Rattus norvegicus: one gene and its partners. The protein of the gene in region 1 interacts with the protein of each later gene in a pairwise test. Links are inferred from orthologs where the notes say so. Each region holds a gene or a part of one and is shown in the gene's direction. Other genes may lie near its edges.

Evidence for each region.
Region 2: the proteins of Tbc1d22b (region 1) and Deup1 interact in binary tests that used the Homo sapiens proteins (3 or more experiments, as listed by UniProt). The link is inferred for Rattus norvegicus from reciprocal best matches to the Homo sapiens genes TBC1D22B and DEUP1.
Region 3: the proteins of Tbc1d22b (region 1) and Hsd17b14 interact in binary tests that used the Homo sapiens proteins (3 or more experiments, as listed by UniProt). The link is inferred for Rattus norvegicus from reciprocal best matches to the Homo sapiens genes TBC1D22B and HSD17B14.
Region 4: the proteins of Tbc1d22b (region 1) and Vps52 interact in binary tests that used the Homo sapiens proteins (3 or more experiments, as listed by UniProt). The link is inferred for Rattus norvegicus from reciprocal best matches to the Homo sapiens genes TBC1D22B and VPS52.

The regions. Positions count from the first base shown.
Region 1 is NC_086038.1:7,640,120-7,646,789, forward strand, and holds part of Tbc1d22b (TBC1 domain family member 22B), read left to right. Parts: intron 1-1,220; coding exon 1,221-1,400; intron 1,401-2,294; coding exon 2,295-2,365; intron 2,366-3,533; coding exon 3,534-3,662; intron 3,663-4,994; coding exon 4,995-5,060; intron 5,061-6,670. UniProt on the Homo sapiens protein: May act as a GTPase-activating protein for Rab family protein(s).
Region 2 is NC_086026.1:20,680,995-20,687,664, reverse strand, and holds part of Deup1 (deuterosome assembly protein 1), read left to right. Parts: intron 1-21; coding exon 22-127; intron 128-4,466; coding exon 4,467-4,661; intron 4,662-5,551; coding exon of another isoform or gene 5,552-5,599; exon of another isoform or gene 5,600-5,735; intron 5,736-5,975; coding exon 5,976-6,062; intron 6,063-6,670. UniProt on the Homo sapiens protein: Key structural component of the deuterosome, a structure that promotes de novo centriole amplification in multiciliated cells.
Region 3 is NC_086019.1:105,163,209-105,170,662, forward strand, and holds the start of Hsd17b14 (17-beta-hydroxysteroid dehydrogenase 14), read left to right. Parts: upstream 1-2,486; 5' UTR 2,487-2,552; coding exon 2,553-2,640; exon of another isoform or gene 2,641-3,436; coding exon 3,437-3,475; intron 3,476-3,592; coding exon 3,593-3,675; intron 3,676-4,603; coding exon 4,604-4,670; intron 4,671-6,060; coding exon 6,061-6,152; exon of another isoform or gene 6,153-7,454. Other genes in the region: Plekha4 (pleckstrin homology domain-containing family A member 4), read left to right, coding at 1,018-1,067, 1,417-1,529, 1,629-1,891. UniProt on the Homo sapiens protein: Catalyzes the NAD(+)-dependent oxidation of L-fucose, yielding L-fucono-1,5-lactone, which rapidly converts spontaneously to L-fucone-1,4-lactone. Can also act on D-arabinose and L-galactose, with lower catalytic efficiency. Does not use NADPH.
Region 4 is NC_086038.1:4,928,657-4,936,117, reverse strand, and holds the start of Vps52 (vacuolar protein sorting-associated protein 52 homolog), read left to right. Parts: upstream 1-2,659; 5' UTR 2,660-2,781; coding exon 2,782-2,871; intron 2,872-3,401; coding exon 3,402-3,486; intron 3,487-4,050; coding exon 4,051-4,103; intron 4,104-4,245; coding exon 4,246-4,321; exon of another isoform or gene 4,322-4,323; intron 4,324-4,499; exon of another isoform or gene 4,500-4,502; coding exon 4,503-4,570; intron 4,571-4,829; coding exon 4,830-5,005; intron 5,006-5,565; coding exon 5,566-5,716; intron 5,717-5,991; exon of another isoform or gene 5,992-6,088; intron 6,089-6,320; coding exon 6,321-6,421; intron 6,422-6,517; coding exon 6,518-6,650; intron 6,651-6,743; coding exon 6,744-6,801; intron 6,802-7,352; coding exon 7,353-7,461. Other genes in the region: Rps18 (small ribosomal subunit protein uS13), read right to left, coding at 1,760-1,858, 2,326-2,328. UniProt on the Homo sapiens protein: Acts as a component of the GARP complex that is involved in retrograde transport from early and late endosomes to the trans-Golgi network (TGN).

The DNA.
Region 1 (6,670 bases):
CCACAGTGCCAGTCTCAGACAGGCATTCAGCACTGATTGGCCAGGTGGCCTAAGCTATGGATGAGGTTCTCAATGTCAGGAAGGCCCCTGCCTCGATCCCTGCAGGCTGCCCTGTGCAGCCAGGCCCCCCACGTGTCCCCCTGTGGAGGTTCCTTCTGCACATCTGCCTGTAAACAGCTGATGCCGGAGATGCCCATCTGCCTAAGTTTATTGCATGCATTCTGCATTTTCTCAGCCCCACTTGTCACCGTAGGCATCCCAGTCAGGTGCCTTATGGCGGCTGTCGCAAGCTTCTGCAGTGCTGGCCTGTGGAATATATTCATTTTAGGTATTGAGGAACATGACCCAGCCCTAGCAGGGCAGTCCCTGAAACAGTTTTCTTTGTGGCAGCTCATTCTGAAGGGCGCTGGAGTCAGACAGCCTGGAGGCCCCCCTCCACCGCCCCAGTTTCTCAAGTTCCTAGGCTGACTTTGTTCTTCTGTAAAGTCACTAAAACTTTTAGCAGGTGTCGTAAGGGATCATGGGAGCTCATGCTGAAATGGCGGGCACGGCCCCCTCTAGGTGGCAGGCACCAGCTGAGTTAGACCATCTACAGTGGAACAGAGTCCAGCTTCCCCTGCTTTGGTGGTAGCAGCAGAATTCAAAGCTGCTTCATTTGTGTGAGGAACATGGAGCAGAGGAGCTGGCTACTTGGCACGGGGTTGCCTGAGGCCAGAGCTTCCTATACACCTTGAAGGGCTCCTGTGGGCCAAGTGCAGGCCAAGGTTGAGCCTGGCTGTGAGGGCAGCCATGTGCCTAGCCAGAGGGTTGTACACAGGGCCACGGCCTAGCCCTCCACACTCTGCTTTAGCTGTCACGGCCTAGCCCTCCACACTCTGCTTTAGCTCTGTGGCTACCGCACTCACCAGGTTAAGGCAGCTTAAGATCCAGGGTAGGATAGAAAGTTTCGTCTCCCTTGGTGTTACCACGTACATTCTTAGAAGTCACAGCGACATCTGGGGTCAGCTGGCCACAGTTGCCCTCTGTGGTACAGGTGCAGTCCCTCTGTTTGGAAGCAGAGCCCTGCGGACCTCATTGTCTCACTGTTTCTCAGCTCCAGCCTCAGGAGTGCCACAGGCTCAGGTCCCGCCCCGGAGAAAGCACTGCACAGTCTGCGCAGACCTGGGGCATCTGACGGCGACCTTCCTATGTAGGTCTTTCTCCTTTTCAAATCCCTTCAGGTGACACGTGCCTGAGGAACACACTCCACAAACAACAGTCTCTCCCTCTCCGGCCCATCATCCCCCTCGTCGCCCGGATCTCAGACCAGAATGCTTCTGGGGCCCCTCCAATGACAGTCCGGGAGAAAACCCGCCTCGAAAAGTTCCGCCAGCTGCTTTCAAGCCACAACACTGACTTAGGTGCGTTCCCCAGGGCCCTGGGCAGAGTTAGGCACTGTGGTGACTGGTTCTCAGAGGTCGGACATATCTACCGGCTTCCTTCTTTTGCTTGTCCTAGTCAGGTGCCAGAGCAGCGATGCACAGAGTTTAGTCAGAAGCCTGTTGTCGGACATTAGGGACTAGAGTGAATGGGGCCTGCAGACCGTGGGGCGCCCGTGCCAGCGCTGTCTGCTGCCTCCAGGAGTTCTCACAGAAGTCCACGCCTGCATGCACCAGCGTTTACTTACTGGGCCCAGGTTACCTGGCGGGGCCTCTGAGAAAGGGATCTTGACCAGGTCAGGTTGGAGGGAACACAGCAAGACTGAGCTGTAACAAGTTTATTGGGAGCAAATCAGACGGTTTTATATGTTTATCAGAACCAGAATACAGCGGTGGTCGCCAGGATACAGTGACGTTTGCCAGGTATACAGGACACACAAGATTAATGTCTAAGACCAATTGTCCTGTCAAACTTGCGTATGCCTCGCTGACTTGTAGGGAGTGCAGAGGAGCGCAGGCGGCCTGAGTGCTGCCCTGCCCGAGGGAATGCCTCGGTTTCTCAGGAACTGGACAGCACATGGTGCCCCAGGAGTCTCGGACTCCAACATGAAAAACCTATGACGCATACCTCTCTAGGCAGCTAGACCAGGACAGCTCTATGGTTCCCCCACATACACCCACAGCTTCTCTGAGCCAAAGGCTGCTGTAGGTGCCCTGGGCACCCTGCCGCTGGAGGCTGTGGCATGGAGCCTTTCTTGGCTTGTCTTATCAATGGTGGTGGTGGTGAGTGTATTTGGTGGTAGGAGGCACCTGGCCAAGGTTGGTTTCAGGCCCTTGCAGAAGGACCTGGTTCAGTGAGGCTGTCTATGTTTGTAGATGAACTGAGGAAGTGGAGCTGGCCAGGCGTTCCCAGGGAAGTTCGACCAGTGACCTGGAGACTGCTGTCGGTGAGTTCCAACCATCATGAGGAGATGTGTGGGCCTCAGACAGCCCTCTGCCTGCCAAGGTTGGTCTGATGCCATAGACTCCTCTAGTGCTGCCTGGCACAGCTGTGGGGCTGTGTCCAAAGGACACGTCCTTGAGAGTTTGTTCTCGCACCCACAGGTGAGTGTATTCCACGGCTATGTGTGGAGAAGGCCAGGAGCTGGCTCCCATGGTCACAGTGTCACTTTCTTAACTGTGGGGAGGGATCTAGCAGGACAGGAGGGTCCCAGCACTGGCTTTGAGCAGGCATCATCAACACTCCTGACAGCGTTTGGAAATCCGTCTCCCAGCTTCATGCGAAGACTCAGTCCGTGGGCCTCTCAGAAGCTGCTCTTTCTCTCCCACACTCAGCATTGTAGAGCTCCTGCTTTGGGGCGCTTCCCTCTGGGCCTCTGAGCTCTGCCCATTCACCCAGTAAGGGTTTTCAGAGGCCCAGGGCCAGGTGCTGGGTGCGTACCCCAGATCAAACAGTAACCCCCTCCCCACATCACCGTGCCAATTCTCCAGCCACCCACTAAGGAGAACACTACGTAAAAGCCTTTGAGAGGAAGGGCACACGTGTTGTCACTGTCCCCTGGCCCTGGTCTTACAGCCGTGCAGTTGGTGCCTCGGCCACTCCTAGTAAATTCAGATGTGCTCAGAATGCATTAGGCAAGCCGAAAAGGGACAGGAGGTTTAGGAAGAAGAATGGCTGTTCAGGCTGCCAGAGTTCTGTGCCGGTCTCTCGACTGCCAAGGCCCAGACTCCCTCAGCTTGCTGAGCTGATGGCTCCCAGTGTTACACGGGGAGAAAATGTGTGATCTGTACCAGGAAGTGTCTCAGGAGTTTCCAGATCCTGTAATTCCCTGGGAGGCTGTGACTCGGGTCCAGCTCCCTACTGCTGACTTGTATGTAGTTACTGCTCAGTGGTGTCAGCCCTGGGCGTGGGACCAAAGCAGTGTGCAGGCTGGGAGAGCTGGCTTGCTTCTTCTGCTATCCAGAAGAGGTCGAGTGCAAGGGGCGGGGCGGGGGCTGAACCCAAGAACACCTGCTTGGTCCTCTTGGCCTTCCTGTTCTGTGCTGGGATGGTTTCCAAGTCACCGTTCAGGCTGAAGTGAGAACTCACCCTCTGACAGGCTCTGTCGCCTTTAGGGCTATCTCCCGGCAAACACCGAGCGGCGCAAGCTGACCCTGCAGCGGAAGCGGGAGGAGTACTTTGGCTTCATTGAGCAGTATTATGACTCTCGGAATGAAGAGCACCACCAGGACACCTACAGACAGGTGTGACGTCAGGGAGCTGTGCTCCTGGAGCCTCTTGTGCAGGGAGGGGAGAGACGGACGTCCTGTGTGTTTTGCGGCCCCTCCCTCTTCTTATCCAGTGGCTTTGACTTTGCAATTAAAAAATAGAACTTACCCTGGATGTGCGTGTGTGCAGGTGTGTGAGTGTGTGTGTGCGTGGTCAGGAGTGAGTGAGTGAGTGTGCATGTGCATGCATGTGTGCAGGTGGACGTGTGTGTGCATGTGTGTTCATGCGGGTGGGCGTGTGAGTGTGCATGTATGTGTGTGAGTGTGTGCATGTGCCTGTGTCTGTGTGTATGTGGGAGTTGAGGGACCCAAGGGGTACTGGATCCTTGGAACTGGAGTAGAGACTGTTGTGAGCTATGATGTGAGACCAAACTCAGGTCCCCAGGAGGAACAGCCTGTCCTCTTAGCTGCTGAGCCAGCTCCTGATTCATTTTATTTTCTCCCTCCTGGGACAGGGTTTTACTCTGTCGTTTAGATCGGAAGTCTCGTAGCTCAGGCTGATTTGAACTCGCCTCAGTCTCCTGACTGCTGGGCTTACAGGTGCTTCCAGTGCCCTTGGAAAGGTGTGGTTTTTAGCAGTAGTCAGTGGTGTTGCTTCTCATGTTTCATGTGTGCACAAATCACCCACACATATGCAAGTGTACATACATGTATACACACAGATACACACATACACATGTGTACATGGATGTACACACATGCACAGATATGCACACATATACATACACATGTGTACAAACATGTACACACTGCATGCATGCATACACACACACACACACACACACACACACACACACACACACACACACACATGCCCACCCATGCCTTGGATTACCAATAGGTGCAGGTCTTGAGGTGAGGCCCACACATCTAACACGCTCCCTGGTAGTGTTGCTGTTTGGCCACAGGCCGTCCTCTGAGGACTAAAGACCATGGGACCCCACAGGAAAGGCAGGAAGTTTGTCAATGGTCGGGTCCCTCTGGACTTTAGCATCAGTGCATGCCTGTGGCTGCTTCAGAGCCCATTCAGCACTCACTGCCTGCAGAAATGTCTCCTGGCCGCCCCATAGCAGGAGGAGAGTGTCCTCTGGGGAGACACCTGTCTGGCTGACTAAGCGGCTTATTTGGGGGTGTTTCCTCTGTGAGCAGTGGCTAACCTGGGCTCATACTCTTCCTGGGTGGGTCTAGCTGGGCTTTGTGCATATTCTGTCTGTCTGTCCCTCTAAAGCTAAGCTGTGTTCTAAGTGTTTCTGAGTGTGCTGCCTTAGACACCTGCCTTAAATCTGGGCCGTGGTTTCTGTTTTTCAGATTCACATTGACATTCCAAGGACGAACCCTCTCATTCCCTTGTTCCAGCAGCCGCTCGTCCAGGAGGTGAGTGGGTGGGTTCCTCAGTGTCCCATCCTCCTCCTGCCCAGTGGCACCTGCTTGGTACCCCGTGTCCACACGTGGCATTTTGGGACAGGGCATTTCCTCACGCCTTGTCCTCCACCCTTTATAACAAGACTGGGTACCAAGTAGTGCTTTGCCTGAGGCTCGAGCAGAAAGAATCCTTTGGTCAAACTCCTGTCCCTGGGCTCGTTCTGCTTTTTCACAGCGGGGGTGGTGACTTGTTTTTCTAATTGTGATAAAATATCCGTAGCATGAGTTTGCCCTACTCTTCTTCCTGGTCTTATGAACAGTGGCTGCTTACTAGTTCCTGGCTGAGTGGCTTACATGCATTTGAGTGTTCTGTGAGCACCACCTCTGTTTCCAGAAACTTTCCTTTTCCCACACTTAAATTTAGTGCCCATAAATAACAACCCCCTTTCCTGCCACCACCTTTCTACTTTTTGCCTGTGGCCATGACCGCTCTAAATACCTCAGATAAGGAAGCTTATACAGTATTTGTCATTTGGTGTCTGACTTAATTCACAGTGTCAGAAGTCCCTTCATTAAGTTGTTTTTTTTTTTTAAATATTTATTTCATATGACTACACTATAGCTGTCTTCAGACACATCAGAAGAACTGGATCCCATTACAGATGGTTGTGAGCCACCATGTGGTTGCTGGGAATTGAACTCAGGACCTCTGGAAGAGCAGTCAGTGCTCTAACCGCTGAGCCATCTCTCCAGCCCCCAAGATGTTTTTATCACATTGATATATTTATATTGTGGAGGGCATGGCATGGTGTGTGTGGTGAGAGGATCTCCAACAGGAATTGGCTTTCTCCTTCCACTGTGTGGGTCCTGGTCATCAGTCTTGTCAAATAGGCACCTTTACCAGCTGAGCCACCCCCTCGCCTTGATTTTATAAACCTTCCATTGTCATTGCTAATTCTCCACCAAATGGAAACTGGACAGGCGGGTTGCTTGTCTCTCTAGGCTGTGGGATTATGCTGTAGTGAGCATGGTTGTGTCTGAATACGCTGTAGACCCTGTTTTCAATCCTTTTGGAACTAAGTCCAGGAGTGACACTGGTAGTGATGTTGTAAGACCTCAAGCTAATGACACACGTGGAAGGCCCCAGTGGGACCGTTAGCTTGACTTGAGAGGGGGACGCTCGCTCGTGAGACCAGCAGCTTCCTGAGGAGTTCTGCTGCAGCCGTGATGTGGAATGTCAGTGCTTTCGAAAGTCTTTCAGCTCTGTCTGTAACAGAGAGGGACAGTAGGAGAATGTGTCCATAGAGCCTTTACCAATACATGTCCCCTGCTGGGGTCTCTCACAACTTGTAACACCAAAAGGAAGATTGTGTTGGTGACAGCATCATCTTCCTCCCCCTAGGAGGCAGCATGAGAAAAAGCTCGAATTCCTTTCCCTACTGCCATTCCGCTTCTGCTGTCAGCCCCGCCTCCTCCTCCTCCCTCCACCTCTGTGCTCAGCCCCTTGACTTCCTTCTCCTGCACCCTAGCCTCCCGCACCCTCCTGCACCCTCATCAGGCATCTCTGGCTAGTGGAGCCTGGGCACAGAGATGTGACATATTTTATTCTCTTCAGTTTTGCC
Region 2 (6,670 bases), on another chromosome or scaffold:
TGCTTTATTTGTAATTTGTAGAGTTGAGTCATCATATTCCCCTTCTACTAAAGAACCAGAAAGGAAAAGAAAGGAGCTGTTTTCAGTGGTCTCGGATCAACCCAATCATGAAAAGGAATTAAACAAGGTACGGAGTACGACAAGATCCATTCTCCCAGCTCTAATGTCTCTGCATAAAATTGGCTCCAAGCTCTCCTCCATCCTCCTCTCCTTTGCCTGATGTATTTCCTCTGAAAGCCATAATCGGCCAAGTGGTTAATTCTGATACTCTGTGTGAGCACAAGTCTTCAGTTATTCCGCCATGGGAGAATCCAGTGTGGGGTGTGCCCTTGTGAGAGAGCCCAGGCTGCTGCTCAGTGCCTGGGTGACCTTGGGGGACTGACCTGCCTAAGGGACCTCATCTAGGATGTGGTTAGTACTGTTTGGATGGCTCATCCTTGGGAAGCATGAACAAATGTCTGTCACTCCAAATGGAGCACTGACTATAGGCCAAAGAAGAATTGTACTCAAGGCTCATTTGGTAAACCAATGAGTTTCCCATTGTCAGAAGGAGGCTGTGTGTGTGTGTGTGTGTGTGTGTGTGTGTGCTTACAGCATCATGTGTGATTCAAAGGTAGCTGCATTACTGAAAAGCCCATGAAGGAAGAGTCACACATCACAGAAACTGATCCTCGGGCTCCTGGCAGCCGCTCACTGCAGTCCCTGGTCTCAGCAACCATTGACTGCTTACAACAGTGCATGGGCTTCTCGAGCCTTCCCTTGCAATGTGTTGTTATTTTCCTGAGCTTTATGAGCGCTGCGTTCTGTACAAGAGGGAACGATTCAACTCAGAGGAAATATACAACTTCCACCACCCTGAGGTGATGACAGGTGTGAAATGAGCTGATACCTGCTGACACTCTCATGCGCCAGGGACACTGCCCCAAGGATTTAACATCTTACAAAGTAGATCCTATAGCATCCTCTTTTCACCTTTAAAAAACTAAGACACAGAGAAGCTGAAGAGATTCAACTTTACACAGATAATAATTGGTAGACACTAGTTTTGAATGTAGGCTCTGTCACCCCAGAGACTACCTCTGTTGAAATTCAAGCTAATGCAAATTACATACTGAGAACAGGACCTAGAGGATCACCTCACAGATGTGAGCTACTGATGGTTTGGGCCACACCTACATTTCTAACTAAGAGCCTAGCAAAGGCCAAGCACTTTGCCAGGAGCTAAAAGCCTAAGATGAGGAGGTGAGGAGGGTCTGGGCTTGGTTCTTACAGAGCCCTGCGTTCTTCATTCTTCTATAACCAATATACCTCCCTAGTAATTATGTTGTCAGTCTCAATAGGAATGCATTGGAAGGAAAGATCTTAACTAGGTGTAGTAATTCACACAAACAATCCTAATACTTGTAGGGGTTGAGGCAGGAGGATTGCCACAAGTCTGAAGCCATCCTAGGCTACATAGCAAGACCCTGACTCTACCCTTCATCCCCTTAAAGGCAGATCCTGGCAGAGATGGGTATCTAAGAATGAATGCAGTCGGGGTTGGGGATTTAGCTCAGTGGTAGAGCGCTTGCCTAGGAAGCGCAAGGCCCTGGGTTCGGTCCCCAGCTCCGAAAAAAAGAACCAAGAAAAAAAAAAAAAAAGAATGAATGCAGTCCAGCCTAAGAAATGTGTTATAGAGCAATTGTCACTTCCTCCCTCTTTCGAACACTGATACCACAGAATCCCACTGATTTTGCTGTTTTAAAAATGTAACTTTCAGCTGGACAGTGGTGGCCCATGCCTCTAATTCAAGTATTTGGGAGCCAGAAGTAGGCAGATCTCTATGAATATGAGGTCAGCCTGCTCTACAAAGTGAGTTCCAGGACAGCCAGGGCTACACAGAGAAACCCTGTCTCGAAAAACAAATATATAAACTTTCAAAAGCTGCTTTTTGCTGACACTCCATGAGACTGAGTCACAGTAAAAGGGAGTGTCTAATGCCATATATGACTACATGCTTCTAGACCTCCGAGGCTTCTGACAAACTCAGAACTGCAGAGTAAAGTCAGGAATCCTGTGTGAGTGAGACCAAGGTGAAGGAGAGGCACTGCCCTTTGCAGGGTGGTGGTGGACGGCTGGACTAGCTGGCTGCAGCTCCCAGAAGTATCTGCAAAGAACATTTCCACTCCACTGTGCTAACACTATCGAGGGCCATGTGCTATGAACCTTGGGCGTGGCTTTTCTTTTGTGGGTACAGAGCTGTTTTTACTCACTTATTTTGTGATAAAATTCACATTTAAAAAAAGCCACGTCATTGGAAGCACAGATAAGTAAATCTCATTAAGAAACACGTTCTGTGGAAGAGCACATTGTTTCAATATCTAACCACTGTAAACTAATAAAAATTTAATCCTCTTTCAGAATAGCATATTTATTTTCTTAATTTTCCCAGTTTCATCCTTAAGAGGCTGGTGTTGAAGTTTACCACAGGGACATGAACCATAAAATCCAGACTGTCAAACTGTAGAATGATATGGCTGGTTCACCAAAGAAACTGCCAGGAGGGAAAATGGAGGGGAGTGGGGATCAAAGAGATTCTGAGGGAGTGAGCAAGGTGGCCAGAAGATAGAGGGGCTTGCAGCTAAGCCTGATAACCTGAGTCCCATCCCCAAGACTCAAGGTAGAGGAAGGACCCAACACCTGTGAGTTCTCCGAACCTGCACACATGTGCCGTGGCATGCACGTGCACATATAAACACATGTAATTTAAAGAGACCCATAACAGATACTGGGGTTAGCACCCCTCTCTGAGACTCTTGATTTGGGGAGCTAGAAACTAGCTCCTGGTTCCTGTTTGCTGAATGGCAAAGTCAAGACCATGTGGTGTCTAAGACACATTTCTAGCCTTAACAATTAGAGCAGGAACAGATAAGGAGTGGATGGGACCCAGCCTGGGATCCAGCAGATTGGCCTCTGAAAGCAGCTACTCGGCATTAGGTCACCTTTCCTCAGGTGCCAATCCTGAACCTGGCTGTCCCAGGGTATAACCCAAGATGGATGGGGGCGAGGTTCTAGAAAGTGACTGCCTTTCGTGAGGACTGTAACTAGAGATTAAAGGAAAAGACCAAACAGAGACAAAGAGTGGCTAGAAAGGGAGCTGGCATGGTGAGATCCTAATCCAGCTTTATAGACTTGAGCATTGGAGATTTGGGACAATTTCACATCTGAATTCTGCCTGAAATTGTTTGGTGATATGGAAGAACTAGTCATTAAGATGCTAGCATGGGTTCCGGGAAGAAAGAGGAAAGACAGAAAGGAGGGGTGAGACCCTTATTCCTTTAGACATGTACACTGGGCTTTTAAAGAGAAAATACAGTCTCCTGTCACCTTTTAAGTTTCTGAATACATTCATAGAAGTTTCTTTGTGGATTTTCTTGACTTCCCTCTCTGGCCTTATTTCTTAGGGCACAGTTGGTCAGAACACACCAAGCTCCCTCAGTGCACATGGCTCTCTGGTCCCTACCCTTGGCTGCATCCTGGCTGGCTTGCATCTTCTCCTCAGTATTTTGTGTGATAACCTCTCCTCTGAGAAGACCAGACTGATACAAATCACACCCCCAGACCAGCTGGGTTAGGCACCCTCCAGGACATCCCTCACACGCAACTACAACCCTGTGATATAAATATGTTCGTTTTTCTAAGGGAGGAGAAGTGGTCGTGTCTTTAAAAGGATGCCGGGGTAGGGGGTGCAGTGTGGTATGAGCAATGGGGATAGAGAGCAGAGGGCCTGAGGGGGTTGCCCTGGACTGCTGCCGCCTGCATTTGGAAAGGTGAGGGTGGTAAGGAGCCCAGGTCCAAAAGTTTCTGCTATGAGAAAACTAGCAAAGATGATGAGAGACTCCAAGGGGTTACAAGAGGCCAGTAAGACATTCCTACCACCACATTAAGCTTCGTGTGTTACAATATGGTTCTGAGACATAGTGTGGAGTCACCGCTGCCAGCAGAATTTACGCTTCTTTTATTGTTTAAAAAATATGTAAATATAGCCAAGGACCATGAGTTTCGGTCTAGAATCTGGCACTTTCTCTTCCTATGACTCCAGCAAGATGCTTACCCTCCTTAGGCCACTGTTTCTCCATAGATGATGACCAGACTTTGTGCTGTACACCCATGAGCCCAGAGGCCAGAGCATGAGGAGCCAAAGATAGCCCAGTCTGGGTGTGCACGTAGACCCTGCCTCAAAACACAATAAATCACTAAGTAGCAATTTCTGTCAAGTCTGTCAGAAAGCTGAGTCAGTAGGGACACTGCACATGACAATGGTGAGGTATCTGGGGTTGGAAGGAAACTAACTTAGGGTGCCCCTTGTCAGTTAGCAATGATCAGAAGTAGGCCGTCATGGGCCACAGGTATTCTTGGGAGCCCAGCACACGCTGCAGCTGCGCTGTGAGGGAGGGGCTGCTCACGTCTCTGCTCGCTCTCACCAGATGAGAAGCCAGCTCTATCAGGAGGAAGACCTGTGCTCCGAACAGGAACGGATGAGGAACGAGATCTCCGAACTCACCCAGGAACTTCACCAGAAGGAGGTCACTATAGCAACCATCATGAAGAAAGCTGCCCTTCTGGAAAGACAGCTAAAGATAGAATTAGAAATAAAAGAAAAAATGTTAGCAAAGCAACAGGTATGTATACGTACAGGAGAGCACTCTCCAGGGCTGGCTCCTGCCCATGTTCATCCTAGCCTCGCCCTAGGTCTGTCAAAAGCCTTGGCGACTTGTCCCATAAAACCCTGAGCCGTGGACAAAAAGTACCATCAAAGAAACACTAGGGACCTAGCAGACAGCGCACACATGAGTGATCGGTTGCTTGCCGAGGTTCTCCTGCAGCTGTCTTTGCACATCGCACTGCCCTGTACCTTCCTCAGTCATTTGCTATAGGACCTTTCCATTAAACTGTTTTTTAGAGAGCAATTCCAGGTTGCTCGAAGATCCTGCCCCTCTCTCCATTTAACACATTGTCGTGTTTTAAACACGGAGAAAACAACATAAAAATCACTAAACATCCACTCAGCATGCAGCAGAGATCTTGAGTTCCACGTTAAAACCCTGCAAGGGATGCTCGCTCCTGCCATCCTCCCTATTCCTTCTGTTTCCTTGCTCTCTAATAATGTTAGCCTGCTTTGACAGCACAGGCTTTACGGCCCTTTCACTCTAAATGTAGGTGATTTCAGAGCACAAAACATGAATCGAGACAATTTCCATAAGAGCAGTTCAATCTCGTGTATGTACAAAAACAGAAAAGATTGGGCCTTCATCACGTTATGGGCCGCAGACTGACCAGTTTGTACCACACACACGGAAAGCCAGCACAGGGCACTTCGCGCACCTCAGGGCGCCTTGCAGTCAGGGGCAGCTGCAAGAACGACCCCTTTCGTTTTCATACTGCCATCTTTCCCGGACTTTGTCAGTGAGCATGTATCTTCTAATTCACAAACGTAAATATGTTTAAAGCAAGGGTTTCGTATAGTAATGAGCCAGGTATGGGGGCACGAATCTGTCATCCCAACATTCAGGTAGATGACACCAGGGAAAGAAGAAAGAGCTACAGAAGCAAGTCATAGGCACACAAGGGAGCAAGCCAGAACACCAGAAGGAGCGGATTAAAGCCATGTACGCTTACTGTAAACGTTAACTGGGCATTGAAGAAGTGCAACGGACAAGAGGATTTTCGAGAAGTTTTCTTCATTGTGATTATAATTCCTGTATGTGAGAAATGGAATTTCAGACTTGGTAGGGAAAAGTAAATATTTAAGTGTTTCAGATTTAGCACTGCTCAAACAGGAAGTTGGTGGGGGAGGAAGAGAACCCAAGTGGTGGGAGGGTGGATGTTTTCCTCCACGCCACAGAAAGGATTTGCACCCACCTGGACAGAGTTAATGAAGATGACGAGCTCCCATCGCGAGTTTTACACATGCCTTTTATCTGCTAATCTTTCAGATCTCAGACAGAAGATACAAAGCTGTCAGAACAGAAAACACACACCTGAAGGGAATGATGGGAGACTTAGACCCTGCACGGTACTTGGTAATGCGCTGAATTCATTCCCCCAAACTGAACAGGAGGTAGCTTGGCTGGTCAGGGCGGATCATCAGTGTGGTCACTGAGCATGCGCGCCAGGAGCGCCGAGCTGCGCACTGCCTACTGCACTGCCTACCGCAGTGGCTTGCCCAGGCTCGGACCCCTGGTTTGGGCTCATTTCTGATCATTTCTCAAACATGCAAAGCATGCAGTTTCCTAGCTTTTAATCCTGCAATTGCTTGAAACCCTATATCCTCGACAGCCGGAATTGGGTGCCAACCTTATGCTCAGAGAAACCCTCCCCTCAAATCCGAATCAGAATGATTTGTTCCGTTCTTGTTTGATTTATATTTGGCTGACTTGTTTTGTGGCTTGTCTCTTTCAACTTGATGACAATCAGGAAGTTGGCATGACCAACAGCTCAGGATAGAGCAAGCCAACAGTGTTTGTTAACCGAATATATGAATTAGACCCTGACTCTACCTGTTCTCATAAACAACTTAAATGGCTCCAAGCCTCTCACCTCCATTGTCTAGCAGTCGATGGTTGGATTTTGTAGAAGAACTCTTGTTGGTAGAAAATTGAAATATTAGCATTATTTGTTGTATTTTCTT
Region 3 (7,454 bases), on another chromosome or scaffold:
AGCCTATGGAAAATTTCAGATGGAAAATTTCAGATTGGGCAGAGTGATTTAGATCCGTGTAGCCCATGTGACAAGGAGGATGGGGAAGCCAGGTACCATGCGTTGTAAGCTGTCAAGACACTGCACTGACTACTGAATCATGAACTTCAGGGAGACGTAGCCTGACTCAGACCTGGGAGTCAGGCCTAATAGTCCAGGCCAGTGTCCTGTCACTCACCTGTTGGTTAATTCATTGGTCAGACAAACACCGTCACAGTCCAGTCACATCTCGGCAGCATCAAGGGCTGGCGACCAAACCTTGTGACACATAAACCTTTGGGAGATATTTATATCCAAGTCAGAGAAGCCTTTGTAGGGAAGTAGACAACAAGCTGTAGACGTGGACTTGACTTTGCGAGCCTGATGTTCTCCAAGGCTACTTCACTCCCAGTCCCCCTAACATCACCATAAACATAAGTAGGAGGCCAGTGGAGCTGCTGCCCAGCTCCTGATACTGAGGAGACGGAGGCCATCTGCACCCATATAACGAGTCAGAAGGCAATCTGAATGTCATAAGAACCTGGCTGGGAGCAGTGGGGGGACCCAGGAGGTGCTCAGGGATAGGCTTGGGGGTTTCAGAACCCATGTATAAAGACTCGGCTGTCAGTGAATGTCTGTGATCCCCAAGGCACTGAGTCAGAGAATGGAGATAGTGAATCCCTGGAAGCTCAGGGGTCAGCTAGTCTGGCCGACTTGCTGAGAGCAGAGGATTGGTGGGGGGCACTTCCTGTTGTCCTCTGAACTTCCTAGTATCTGCATGTAGGTTGGTGGGGAGAAGGGGGCCAAGGAGAAAGGGATGGAGAGAAAACGGGCTTCAATGGCAAAATCTATCCTCCCCACCCATAGCCCCTTTCTTTCTTTTCTTGCCCTCTCCCTTCCTTTCCCTACCCCGCTCTCCTCTGTTCTTTCCATCAAGGCTGCCCTTGAACTTGTGACCATTCTCCATGACAAGAATTGTAACCAATAATTCCTTTCCAGCCTATTGTAGGAGCTGCGAAATGGCTCAGGAGTTCCGGGTCATGGAGTAGGTATGGATCTAGAGTGGGAGCTGCAATGGGGTGGGGGGGTCAATTCTTGATGCAGACAGGGGAGCAGTGGTGTTATTATAGTTTCCTGTGTACCAAACAAGTCCCCAGAACTTCTGAGTCCCTTGAGTTCCCGAGGTAACTACAAAAAAGCCAGGAAGCCCCTGGTGGTGGGTCAGAGACTGCAGAGCTCTTGTGGCCTGAATCAGATCCAGCTGTTCATCCAGTAATGGTGACCTCCCTGCTGGTCTACTGGTAACAAAGCCTGTGCTTAACGTCCTCTAGATAAAAGCTAGGAAGAACTCCCCGGGAGCCTCGGTGGCCTGTTTGACACGTGGCTTATTTTCTGTAGTCCTAGGCACTCCACAACCTACTCACCCGTGTCTGGAGGCCACCGGGAACGAGTGCTCAGCCTCTCCCAAGCTCTTGCTACAGAGGCTTCCCAGTGGCACAGGCTGATGACAGGTGAGGTGCCCAGGCTCTGAACCCCCGCATCTGAGGAAGGAGGCCTGGAAGTTTGGACTTTACACGTTTAAGTTAACACTTTTCTCATTCTCCGTTTAGCCTCTCCAGAGAGAAATTTGGACACCAGGGGAGACTGTCTCCAGCCAAGTCCACAGCCTCCCAGTGAAGAGCTGCCCCAGGTCACCTCGTCCCCAACTTCTCACAAGGCTAACTCGGCTACCACAGGGTTCTCATGCCAAGGGAGTGGGAGAGGCCTGGCTCCGTGGGAGCCCAGGTGGGACCCTGGGAAGGCCCCTCCAGCTCTGGCCCAGGAAGAGGGGGCATGGCCCCTGAGAGTCACTCTGCTGCAGTCCAGCTTTTGACTCCTGCCTTTGCACTGGGTGCTAAAGGCTGGAAGCACAACCTTGAGGTGTGGGACCATTCAGGACCACAGGGGAGAGGTTCATTTCAGCCTGTGTTCTAGGAGGGCCGGGGCTATGATGGTCAAAGATTGATTATCCCAACACTGTCCGAACTTGGATTAAAACTTTGAACTAGTCAATAAATAGCTTTATTCTCTCTGTGGTTGTGACATTGTGTTCTGACAAACAAGCGTCAGGGCCTTGGATTCACAGGACATTGGGGGGCTACATCTTAAAATATGGGTCTGAGGGAGGAGGTTGGAGTCTGGATCCTGAGTCAAGGCAGAAGTGGTGCTGGTCTTACAAGTCAAAGGGAGCAGGGCTAGAGTCAGTCTGAGGGGGCAGAGCTGGGGTGGGGGTCCCTGAGCCTGGAAGAGGAGTGTCAGGATGGGGATCCCTGGGTCTGAAGGAGGATCATCACGGGTGGGGACCCTGGGTCTGAGAAAGAGGGCTAGGAAGGAGAGTCCTCAGTTCTCCTAGGTGTGCCTTCCTGGGAACTCCCCCTGCCAGGGTCAGCCTTCAGTGACCCAGCCTGTATATCTGGTTCCACTCCCCCGCTTCTCTGGACTTTAAAGGTGGGAAGAGGCCCAGAGGGTGTGGGACACGAGCGAGATAGCTGGGAATGGCTGCAGTAGGCCGATATTCTGGGAAGGTGGTGGTGGTGACTGGGGGCAGTCGGGGCATCGGGGCTGCGATCGTGAGAGCCTTCGGTGAGTAAGGGTCTTCCCGCCTGCTGCCTGAATTGTAGGAGAGAAAGAGCGGCTGGCAGAGGCTCCCACAGTGGGAGGAGGAGACTCAGGTTCATTTCTTTAATGATTTGTTTGTTTTTAATTTTCTCTGTGCGTTGTCGTTGTACCTGGGTGAGGTTGTCAGATCCCTCCTAACCGGAGTTATAAACAGTTGTGAGCTGCCATGTGGACGGTGGGAACTGAACCTGTGTCCTTTGGAAAAGCAGCCAGTGCTCTTAACCGCTGAGCCATTTCTCTGGTCCCTCCGTTTCATTCTTACATGAATCCATTTGGATTGTTGGGTCTTTGTTGATAGGTCGGTCATTAAAAGTTCTTCCACTGGCCTGGCAGTGGTGGTATATGCCTACAATCCCAGCACTTGGGAGGCAGAGGCAGGTGGATCTCTGAGTTTGAGGCCAGCCAGGAGAGTGAGTTCCAGGACAGCCAGGGCTACACAGAGCAACTCTATCTCAAAAATCCAAAAAAAAAAAAAAAAAAAAAAAAAAGTTCTTCCCCAGATGGGTCCCTAGCTGCAAATGATAGCTTTGTGTGTTTTATTGTTTGTAGGTTTTGGATTTTTCTAGAATCCAGGATGGGGGCCAAGCAGTGGCTTAATGAGGAAGGGTAATTTGTTGCTCTTGTGAGTGGAGACAATCTTGTGAGAGAGACAATCACGAGAGCCGCCAGAGAGGCAGGTGCTCTGGTGGCCACAAGAGGGCAGCAGAGGCAGTGACGCAAGTCTGCAGGGCAGGTAACATCGTTCTCTTTCTGTTGGCAGTGGACAGTGGGGCTCAAGTGGTTTTCTGTGACAAGGATGGTGAGTGAATCAGTGTTCATCTCTCCCTTGCCTCATCAATGATCTCTGCATAGCTCTCCTCCCTCAGACCCACATTCCTAAGCCTCCTCCCTCGGACCCAGAATCTTTCTCTTGCAGAGGCTGGGGGCCGGGCTGTGGAGCAGGAACTCTTGGGCACTGTCTTCATCCCCGGTGACGTGACTCAGGAAGGAGATTTACAGGTCAGTGTTTTCTGTCCCACACTCCATCGCCAGTCCCTCTGGGTATCCATGCCCTTGTCACCTCCGTCCTTCTGCCCTCTTCTCTCTCAGGTCTTTAGGAATGATCAGGACTTGAACTCTTGGCTCCTGTAACAAGTTTCTGACTTCCTGGCACTCAGAATCTCTTATGTGTTTCCAGGTCTAGCTCCTATCTGGGCCTCTGTCTTTCTTTGTCTCTCTGCTCCCCACTGCACTCGGGTCTGTAGACTCTCCTTCTGAGGCTCTGTCTTCTGCACACACACCCCTCCGAAGTCTTCTAAAATGGTGTGCTGGTTAGTGTTAAATCGACTGGACACAAGCTAGAGTCATTGGGAAGAGGGAATCTCACTAGAAAATGGCCCCACCAAATTGGCATGTGGGCAAGCCTGTTGGTCACTTAATTAATTAGTGGTTGATGTGGGAGTTTCCCCAGCTCCCTGGGGGTTGTGACATTGCAGGGCAGGTGGTCCTGGATAGTCTAAGAAAAGGGGCTGGACGAGGCATGGGAACAAGCCAGCGAACAGTGTTCGTCCACAGCCTCTGCTTCAGTCCCAGCCTTGAGCTTCTGCTCTGAGTCCCTGTCCTGGCTTCCCTCAGTGATAGATATGACCTGGGAGCTGTAGGCAGACATTAATCATCTCCTCTCCAGGTTGCTTTTGGTCATGGTGCTTATCACAGCAATAGGAACGCTGTGACAAGTGGCAACTGTGCTGTGTGGATCAGTCCTTTTAGTCTGGGTCCTCGACTTCCTGCATCCTCCTCTCTTTCTAGACCTATTCTGTGGCCCTGGTCCCCTTCCACCTCACCCTACCCTGTCTTCCTTAGCTGAGCCCATCCTTGCCTTGGGCCTCCTGGCTTTTCCAAGGCTGTCACCTCTCAGCTCATCACCTGCTCTTTCTTCTCTCCTCAGACTCTGATTTCTGAGACTGTCTCTCGATTTGGTCACCTGGATTGTGTGGTGAATAATGCCGGCTACCGTAAGTTGTGTGGTTTGGAGGCCAGTGTCCCTGACATCTACTTATACCCTCTTCCCCATTCCTCTCTTAAAAATTATTGCCCTATCTATCTATCTATCTATCTATCTATCTATCTATCTATTATCTATCTATTATTTATCTATCTGTCTATCTATTATCTATCTGTCTATCGATGTGCATGTGTGTAAGCGTGTGCTTGCACAAGCACTCGCACTCTCATGCACAGTAAGTACTTCTCTGGTGTTCAGTGCAACAAGAGGGAATCAGTTCTCTCCTTCGGCCATGTGGGATTGAGTTCAGGTTATCAGGCTTGGCACAAGTGTAAAGGTACAGTTGAGCCATTTCAACAGCCCAATCCTTCCTCTGAACCTCAGTTTACCCCTTCCTCAGGACACATAGCCCTCTGCCTCCCGCGTGCGCGCACATGTGTGTGTGTGTGTGTGTGTGTGTGTGTTTACACTTGCATGTATGTCTGTTCTCCCCTTGCATGACTGGTGCCCACAGAGACCAGAAGGAGTTGGATCCCCTGCAACTGGAGTTACAGGCAGTTCTGAGCCACCATGTGGGTGCTGGGAGTTGAACCTAGTTCTCTGGACCAGCAGCCATGCTCTAAACCACTGAACCATCTCTCTGCAGCCTTCCTTAACACAGAGCTCAGCCCGGCCTCAGTCTCACTTTCTTTGCTGTGTGCTTGTCACAGGAGGTTATACTGTCCTTCACGATAGTCCCAGAGCCTGGGGGAGCTCCTGCCTTGCTGATGGCTGGTGGCCCTGGGCCTTGTTGGTGACAAGGACAACCCAGACACGCTTTATCAGACACTAGGTAGTGTGGCACTCTGGGAAATTTTCATCAGCCCAACAGCTGCACCAGAGAACAATGTGTCCCCATGGCAACAAGGGCTCAGGGAACACCCACCGGGGCCCTCTTGAATATCTTCCAAAGTTGGGGTCAGAGGACTGTCCCCGGCCAGCTGGGCTCCCAGTCTTAGCTGCTTTACTTCACATCACAGTAAGGACTCAGGGTTGCTGGTCGCTCATCCTTACCTGGGTCCTTCTTTCCTTAGGCTGATGTTGACAACACCTACCAAATTCCCTTGTGGGGAGTGGTATCTAAGCAGGGAAATTCGCATTCCACAGTGAGGAGAACAGAGACCAGCTGAGGTCTGGCTGCAGAGCACTTACCCACAATCCCCCATGAGCCCTAGAATGACAGGCACTGGCTAGCTTACCCCGTTCTGCAGTCAGCATTCAGCTGCACTCAGCACTGTGTGGCCGCCATCCTTAGCTTTCTCCCTCACCCTTGGCCTCCTCTCCGACCCCATCGTCCCTGCCCTCCCTCCCTTCCTCCCTCCCACCTTCCTGCCCCGGCCTCATCCTCTTCTTCTCTTTAGACCCACCTGCACAGTTGCCAGAGGAGACCTCTGCCCAGGGCTTCCGCCAGCTGCTGGAGGAGAACCTCCTGGGGGCATACACCTTGATCAAGGTGAGACAGGCAGAGCTGCAGTTGCTGTGTGCCCTTCAGTTCATCCGGAGCACATCGCTTTGTGCCCCTTGGCTTCCTGTCCTTATTACAGTATAGCGGTTCTCAATCCGAGGTTCAATTTCCCTTTGGGAATTGAAGATCCCTTCACAGGGCTTGCCTAAGACAACCGGAAAGCATGGTTATCTACGCTGAGATCCATACCTGCAGTTGTGAAGTAGCGACAGAGATAAGTTTATGGTTGGGGGTGGGGGTCACCACCACGACAGGAGGGTGGCAGCATCAGGAAGGTGGAGAATCAGGATCTAGAAGGACACTGCCAGTCTTCATCCACCTGGGAAGTTACACCCTCCTCGCAATCTTCCAGAGCTTTCCAGCCTGCTTGGAGGTAGCAAAGAGGATGCTAAGAGAATCCAAAGTGAACTAGGCTGTGGTGGCACAGGCCTTTAACCCCAGCACTCAGGAGGCAGGCAGATCTCTGAGTCCCAGGCTAGCTTGGTCTACAGAGAGAGTTTCGGGACAACCAGGGTCACGCAGAGAAACCCTGCCTTAAAAAAAAAAAAAAAAGAAAAAGGAAGAAAGAACCGGAAGTCGTGGCTAGGGCTCAGCAGGATGCAGCTGGAGTTCCAGCACTAAGTAAGCATGATGGTGCAACCTGTGATCCCGGCACTCAGGAAGTGGAGGGAGATCAGGAGCTCAAGGTCAACCTTGGCTACACAGAGAGAAAGGAAAGGAAGCCGGTGTGACGGTCATGGCTTATGAGACAGACAGAATAGTTGCTGCTGCCAATAGGTGTGCATGTGTGGATTGGGTGGAGATGGTATTACAGTGTCTAAAGGAACAATAGAGAGCTGAGGAAGATGGTTGAGCAAGAAAGTGATGGGAGCTTCCTAATCATATTCTAGAATGTTCCATGCTGCACTCACTGACCAGCCTCTCCCTAGAAGTTCAGCCCCATGAAAATAGACATCTTTCCCTCTGACTTGTTTCTGTCAGCAATAGGAACCATGGAGTTTGGATGGGGGGGGCTCACTCCTTAAATCCCAGCACTTGGGCTTGTCTAGGAATGCGATTGCTGACCACTCTGGCTGTGTCCCTAGCATGTACAAGGTCCTTAGAAAAGGATGCTGAGGCAGTGAAGGAGGGGGTTCTCCTCAGCAGATTGGTACAGTGAATGCCCTGGGGGTGAGGGTGGGGACACAGAGATCTTTCATGTGCCTGTTTTCTACCTCAGGAAGACAGTGAAGTAGATGCTCATAAGTGGGAATCAAGAGAGAATCTGCTGGTTGGAATGGCCCGAGTGTC
Region 4 (7,461 bases), about 2.7 Mb from region 1:
GGAATGTAGGGTTTTTTGTTTTTTTTTTTTTGAGAGTGGGTGTTACTCTGCCCCCTAACCCTGAGAAGTGGACGCCATTGTAGCAGCTGGAGAAATGGCTCCATGCACTGGCTGCTCTTCCAGGACCTGGGTTCAACACCAAGCACTCTTAACTCCTGATTAGAGAGGATCTTAGTCACGCGTTTGGCTTCCACAGGCATGGAGGCAAGGGGCTGGGGATTTAGCTCAGTGGTAAAGCGCTTGCCTAGCAAGCGCAAGGCCCTGGGTTCGGTTCCCAGCTCCGAAAGGGGAAAAAAAAAAAAAAAAGACATGGAGGCAAAAACCTTCACCACCCCCACCTCAGCCTCCACACGGTAAAAGGTGAGTACAACAGGTCATGATGCCAGGTTGGTTATCGTGACAAGGCAAGGGACGACAGAGCTTTATGGCTCGAGGCCAGCTTGCTTTCTGACTCCCGAAGCACTTATTCAAATTATAAAAGAACTGACTTTTAATATTTAAAGCAGTTTGGAAGAACAGTACTAGAATGCCTTCCGGGTAAGGGCAGTCGGTCCTTCTGTCTGTCCAACCCCTTCCTATATGCTCCTAAACATTGAATTCCTCACCTTCAGTGAGAAACAGAGAACAAGTCTTAAGGAATACAGAAAACTTCCAGTCCTTCACCCTAATCACTTCTGGAGGAGCCCACCCCACAATCACCCCCCACAACTCCCAACAAGCTTCATCTGTTTTGGAAGGGTGCTTTTCCCCGTGTAACCCTGGCTGCCCTGGAACTTTATAGACCAGGCTGGCCCCCAGCTCATACATCTGCCTGCCTCTGCCTCCAGAGGGCTGGGATTGAAGGATCCTTTGCCCCAAGCTTCACCTCTCACTACAGATGCTCCTGAGATCAAGTGAACCCTCAATACCCAGGCTCCATTGGCGCCTCGATTCACCTTGTCTGCACTATATATGAACTGTAGTCATCCCCCAAGATGCTCAGTGTACAAAGATAGGCCAAGCACAGCAGAAGCACCACAACAGCCTTTCAACCTCCTAGACATCATGTTCTTGTCACCATACCCGGCACCCTCCCCCCACTATAACTGTCCCCCAAAGTGCAGAATTTAAATTAGTAAATATGGCAAGGACCTTAAAGATTTACTCTGACTTAATGTCCATTTGACACCCCCTCAGCTACCTAGGCCTCCTTCATCCATCACATAAAAACTGAAGCAGTTTCCTTGAAGCTTCTCTGAACCCTGCAGTCACCCCAGTTCCATTCACATCCTAACATCCCACAGGAACCCACCGGACAGGTCTAGTTCTTGCCCTCAAGGAGAACACAGACTTCTGACCAGCATCGTGCCAGTCCTCGAATTACGAACCTCGACAAAAGTTACGTCCCTCTCTGGAAGACTTTTAGCTCTGCAAAGAGAAACATTCTGGCCTCCACCTACCATTTGGTTTTCTGCCAGAAACCAGCTTCTATCTCAACCGTGTCACCTTCCTTCCACTGTGGCACCTGCATCTTCCCTAGACCACCCCGACACATCACCACCTTCCATGATGTACGTTGGTTGGCAGGAACCCTACCCCAAGGCTTGCTGGCCGCGGAGAACGCTCTAGCACGATCTCATAAGCTGAAGACGTAGGGGAACCTTAGCAAGGTGGGGCCGGACCACAGGCGCGCCTCACTTCCCCTGGAGCAGTGTTTTGGTTTAACCTTGTACGGGTCAGGCGAGTTTAGTTGCTACTCTCTGCCCCCTGACACTTTTACCTTAATGGCAGTGATAGCGAAGGCTATTTTCCGCCGCCCATCGATGTTGGTGTTGAGTACTCGCAGGATGTGCTGAAACTTCTCGGGGATCACTAGGGACTAAAGAACACGGGCAATTATCAAAGACAGGCAACCCCCAAACCGAGAAGGTCGCCGTGGCGGGGGGATGGAATCCAGGGAGCGCCTCCTCCTCCTAAGTTCTTACACAACTCCTCAGTCACCTGTGACCATCACACGCGCCAAACGCGCTCGGGCGCGGGAAAACGCAACCTTTGACATTGAGGGTGAACGTTGGCCGCCGCCCCAAGAACCCTGAGGAGGGGGGTCCGGAGGACCCTACACAGCAGCCAAGCTCCTGGCAACTTTGGTGTGTCCGGGGAGTGACCCTTCATAGGGTCCCTGCTCCCTGGAATTTCACGTCTTAGGTCGTCCCCTCCCCGGTCGCGCTCCATCGCTTCAGGGGAGGCTGCAGACCCGCAGCACAGGGCATTCTCTGAGCCCTGACGGAAAACTCTCCCTGCCCCGGCTCCGATGTCGCCGGATCTCGGCGCTGATTCCGCTCTTACCATGGCGGCGGCACAAGCGGCGGCGTGTAGGCCTCCTGTGGAAGAGAGAGCGGAAGTGACGTGTAGTTCTTATATAGCTTCCTGGAGGAAGAGGCGGGGCTATCCCGGAGGACCGCTTCCGGAAACTGCTTCTCTCCCGGCCTCTCCCTAAGGGAGGAGTTGGTTTGCATAGGACAGGAGCTATAACTTCCGGTTCGGTCTTCTTTGGCGTCGTAGGGTTCTTGTGCGGCCGAGGAGCGAAAGGTTCCGGAGCAGGGTTGTGTTCAAGACGTTCACCTTCCCGTTTGCACCGGACCGAAGTGATCAAAGCCTAACGGGACTCTGGAGCCAATCACGTTAGCTCAACTATCTGGGAACCTTTTGTTGCTCCGTAGAAGACGTTCCAGGACTTGTGGCTTTGCTTCGGGAAACGGACTCTCAGAGACTGACAGCTGCCGGAAGTGAGGCTGCGGGGGAATGGCAGCCGCGGCGACCATGGCGGCTGCTGCCCGGGAGCTGGTGTTGCGGGCCGGCGCTTCAGATATGGAGGAGGAGGAGGGCCCGCTGGTGAGAGCACGGGGCTGTTTGTCCTCCGGAGTGTCGTCAGGTCGTCCTTTTCCTCAGGAAGTCGTAGGCTGGGTTCAGACACAAGGCTCGTCCTGCTAAGGGTGATGGTGACCAAGCCTTCGTAGGGACCCAAGTGGCTGAAACTCAAGTCCCAGGGACACAATGTCACTTTCTTGTTCACGCTTTTTTAGTAGAAATGAGAACATAGTGTATAAGATTAAGAACGTGGCCTCTGGAACCGGATTGCCTGGGTCCCATTTCCAGCCGCATCACTTGAAGGCGATGCTGTTTTCGGTGACAACGTTAATAGGACCTGCCTTGTAGGTGGTCGTTAGGATTAGCCAAATGAGTATGTTTAAGGGTGCACCTGACACATGGGTAAACACTGTAAGCTGACAATGTTAGCCTCTGGGCAACCCCTCCCCCACAAAGCACCCCTCACCTCACTTGCGGGATTAGGGATATCCGGTTTTATTTTGTTTCCAACGTCTCTTTTTGTATCCCACATTCATTAACCCGTCCCTCTTCAGGGGGCTGGTTCTGGACTCCAAGAGCCCCTACAACTCGGGGAGTTGGATATCACCTCTGATGAATTCATCTTGGATGAAGTGGATGGTAAGTGGTGACATGGGGTGGGGGCAAAGTAGACCCTTTTGTTCTTTAGGAATAGATTACATGACCCCCCAGTAGATGGCCCTCTATGGTCTTCTTCTTAATGGACGTACAAAGTTTAATCTATGAGTTGAGAAGGTTTAACCTCTAATTTCAGCTCAGTAAGAATTGATAGCAATACACTGTAATGAATTTGCTGCATCCCTTTTTGCTATTTGGGATGATTATTAAGTAAAAAATAAAGCCCGTTTGAACATAAGTGTGCAGCCAGCTAAGACCGAGCGATCGAGAGGTAGGCACAGCACTTGTCATAGATCAACAGAGCAAAGGTGTTTCACATCCAAGGCCAAGTGAGAGGTAACCTCCTTTGGAAATTCCCACGTAATCCTTTTGATCTGTGGTTGAGTAGATGAAGAGGAGCTGAAACAGAAGAAAGTCCCACCAGGCAAAGCAACTGTGCCTATAACTGTCCTGGAGGAAAGGGGAGATTGGCGTTGTGTGCAGGAGCCCAGTGTGGGCAGAGGGAGGTGTGGCAAGGGGACCCCTTAATGATAAACTTGTCTCCAGTTCACATCCAGGCAAATCTGGAAGACGAGTTAGTGAAGGAAGCTCTCAAAACGGTGAGGATCCCCACTCCGCTGATCCCCACCTTCCCTGACTCTTGCTGTCGCCTCACCTTGGTGGCTCCCCTCCAGCCAGTCACCGAGTCTGTTCTGGGGTCCTCCCACTGTGACTTCTTCCTGACTTTGTCATTTCCCCCAGGGTGTGGATCTTCGACACTATTCAAAGCAGGTGGAGCTAGAGCTGCAGCAGATTGAGCAGAAGTCAATCCGGGACTGTATCCTCCAGCAGAGGAAACAGATGGGTGTTACCGGCATGGGGATGTGTGATGCAGGTAGCCTCCACAGGGGAGGGCGTCTCTCTCAGGTTTCGGTCACCTTGGGGAGAACCTGGGGGCAGGTACTGCAGACCCACAGAGCTATGCGTTCAGTGTGAAGCCCTTGACTTTTGTGGGTCAGACATCCAAGAGAGTGAAAACATAGCCTCTCTGCACAATCAGATCACAGCCTGTGATGCCGTCCTAGAGGTTGGTGGCCCTAACCTGTTGTCCAAGACCGGACCTAATTGCCTTCTGCTCTGTCTTTCTTTCTCTCTCTCTCTCTCTCTCTCTCTCTCTCTCTTTCTTTCTTTCTTTCTTTTTTTTTGTCCCCCTTGGACAAGTGAAGATCTCCCACCTCCTGGGTTGCCGGATACCGGCTCATTCGTTCAGAGACTTGGGTCGTACACTTGCCCCATTTCCCACCAACCGGGAGTCACACCCACAGTGTTTTCTGCCCTCCCTGCAGCGCATGGAGCAGATGCTGGGAGCTTTTCAGAGCGACCTCAGCTCCATCAGCTGTGAGATCCGCACCCTGCAGGAGCAGTCGGGGGCCATGAACATCCGACTTCGTAACCGGCAGGCAGTTCGGGGGAAACTTGGGGAACTCGTCGATGGGCTAGTGGTGCCCTCTGCTCTGGTCACGTGAGTCACTGGTTTGAAGGGTCTTCAAGTCCAGAGCAGGTGGCTGGGCTGGGTTACCTACCCAGTTTACCACATAGGTCTCCCGGCTGGGGTTGTCAGTACCACGTAGAAACCAGGTGTGCCTGCTCATGCCCATAATCACATGCTTGGGAGGCTGAGGCAGGAGGATTGCTGCAAGTAGACCAGACTGGGCTATAGAGTGAGATCTTGTTTAAAAAAAAAAAATGTTGGGGTTGGGGATTTAGCTCAGTGGTAGAGCGCTGCAAGGCCCTGGGTTCGGTCCCCAGCTCCGGAAAAAAAAAATTACAGGAATTCATGGATGGGTTAAAACTCCTAAGCCTGCTTTGGCCACCACAGGATGGGACACGGATGGGACACGGATGGGGCACAGGTTAGGAGTGATCCAGGGCCACGTGAGGAGGTGTGGCTCAGGAGTTGAAGACTTTGTACATACGTCATGGAGGCATGAGACCACAGAGAAAGGCCAGAATGACACGTGAGGTGTGCGGGAGCTGTTGAGTCCTTCCATCTAACCACTCCCATCCTCCCTTGCTCCCCAGAGCAATTCTCGAAGCTCCAGTGACAGAGCCCAGGTTCCTGGAGCAGCTCCAGGAGCTGGACGCCAAGGCGGCTGCGGTCAGAGAGCAGGAGGCGAGAGGCACGGCCGCCTGTGCAGACGTCAGAGGCGTGCTCGACCGGCTCCGGGTCAAGGTGGGGAGCGGCTGCTTACAGTCAGCTTCCCAAGAGCTCCACATTGCTTCCCGCTATGTAGTGTCAGTGTCAGTCCTCCCCTGAAAATCAAAGGAGGCTTGCAGTGTGGCTCCATTGGTAAAGCACACAACCCTAGGTTCCATCCCCAGTGCCTCCTGCGTTGGCAGGATGGCACGAGTCTGTCGTCCTAGCACTCAGGAGGTGAAGAAGAAACGGAGTCTGGGGCCAGGCCCCAGATACATGAGTGAGACGCCATCTCAGAACAAGCAGTGCTTGCACTGGCAGTGCGGGTACTAAAATTAGAACAACACAGAGAAGATTAGCATGGCCCCTGTGGGATAACATGAAATTTATAAAGCCTTCCATATTTAAACAAAACAAAAAGCCCTGAAAAAATAAGGCCAGCATGGCGATGCACTCACCCCCAGCATTCAGGAGGCAGAGGCAGGCAGACCTCTGTGAGTCCCCGGCCAGCAAGGGCTGCTCAGAGAGACCCTGTTTCCATAACCAGAGCACTAATGAAGTATTCTTCCCTTACCTTTATTTTCTCCTGTGTCCCCTCTCTCACTTCCCACCTCACGGCCTGTCTGTACCCCACATCCAGGCGGTGACAAAGATCCGTGAGTTCATTCTCCAGAAGATTTACTCGTTCCGAAAGCCGATGACCAACTATCAGATCCCCCAGACGGCCCTGCTGAAGTACAGGTGGCCCCCCCGGGATGGGCACAGGGTGACCATGAGCGAGCCTCTCAGCCTCCAGCGTGGGCATCCAGGGTGTCTGACTCACCCCGGTCCTTCCAGGTTTTTCTATCAGTTTCTGCTGGGCAACGAGCGTGCTACAGCCAAGGAGGTCAGGGATGAGTACGTAGAGACGCTGAGCAAGATCTACCTGTCATACTACCGCTCGTACGTGGGGCGGCTCATGAAAGTGCAGGTGGGCCAGGCCAGAGACGGGGGGAGGGGGGAGGCTGGGGGGGCTGGGGGGGATGTGGAGAGTGATGGCTCAGCTCTCTGTTGTTTTCTCTAGTACGAGGAAGTTGCTGAGAAAGACGATCTAATGGGTGTAGAAGACACAGCAAAGAAAGATATCCTTTAGAGGGGAGCCTCACACCGGGCTCACGGCGGGGACGTCCAGCTCCAGCATGCAGAGCTATCTTCTTTTCCTTCCTTCCATTTCTTTTTCTTTTTCTTTTTCTTTCTTTCTTTTTTTTTTTTTTTTTATAAGTACACTGTAGCTGTCTTCAGACGCACCAGAAGAGGGCATTGGATCCCATTACAGATGGTTGTGAGCCACCATGTGGTTGCTGGGAATTGAACTCAGGACCTCTGGAAGAGCAGTCAGTGCTCTTAACAGTCCAGGGCTGTGTTTTTTTTACCTGTTCTGTGTTCACACCTTTGAGGATGTGAAAGCCAGAGCTTCCTCTCTAAGAAGCACATGCCATTCTGACAGTTTTTCACATTTATTTCAGAGGGTTTGGGAAGCCTCGACAGCCATTATCAGTGTCAGGAGAAGCAAGGCTCTGGTTCTGGAAAAGGCCTTCCAGGCCTTATTTAGCTTCTTGGGATCCTCAGGCCTTGGCTTGTTGGGCCTAGTGCTGTCCATCTCGTTTTTTTCCCTGACGCGGATGTGGCTCACGATTCTTCTCGAAGCCGTCCCTGCGAAGCAGGAACACCATCTTTACCCTGGGCACCCGTGGTGCTGTCATCTCACCGGCCGAGCTCGAGGCCCCCATCCTGGTGCCCCA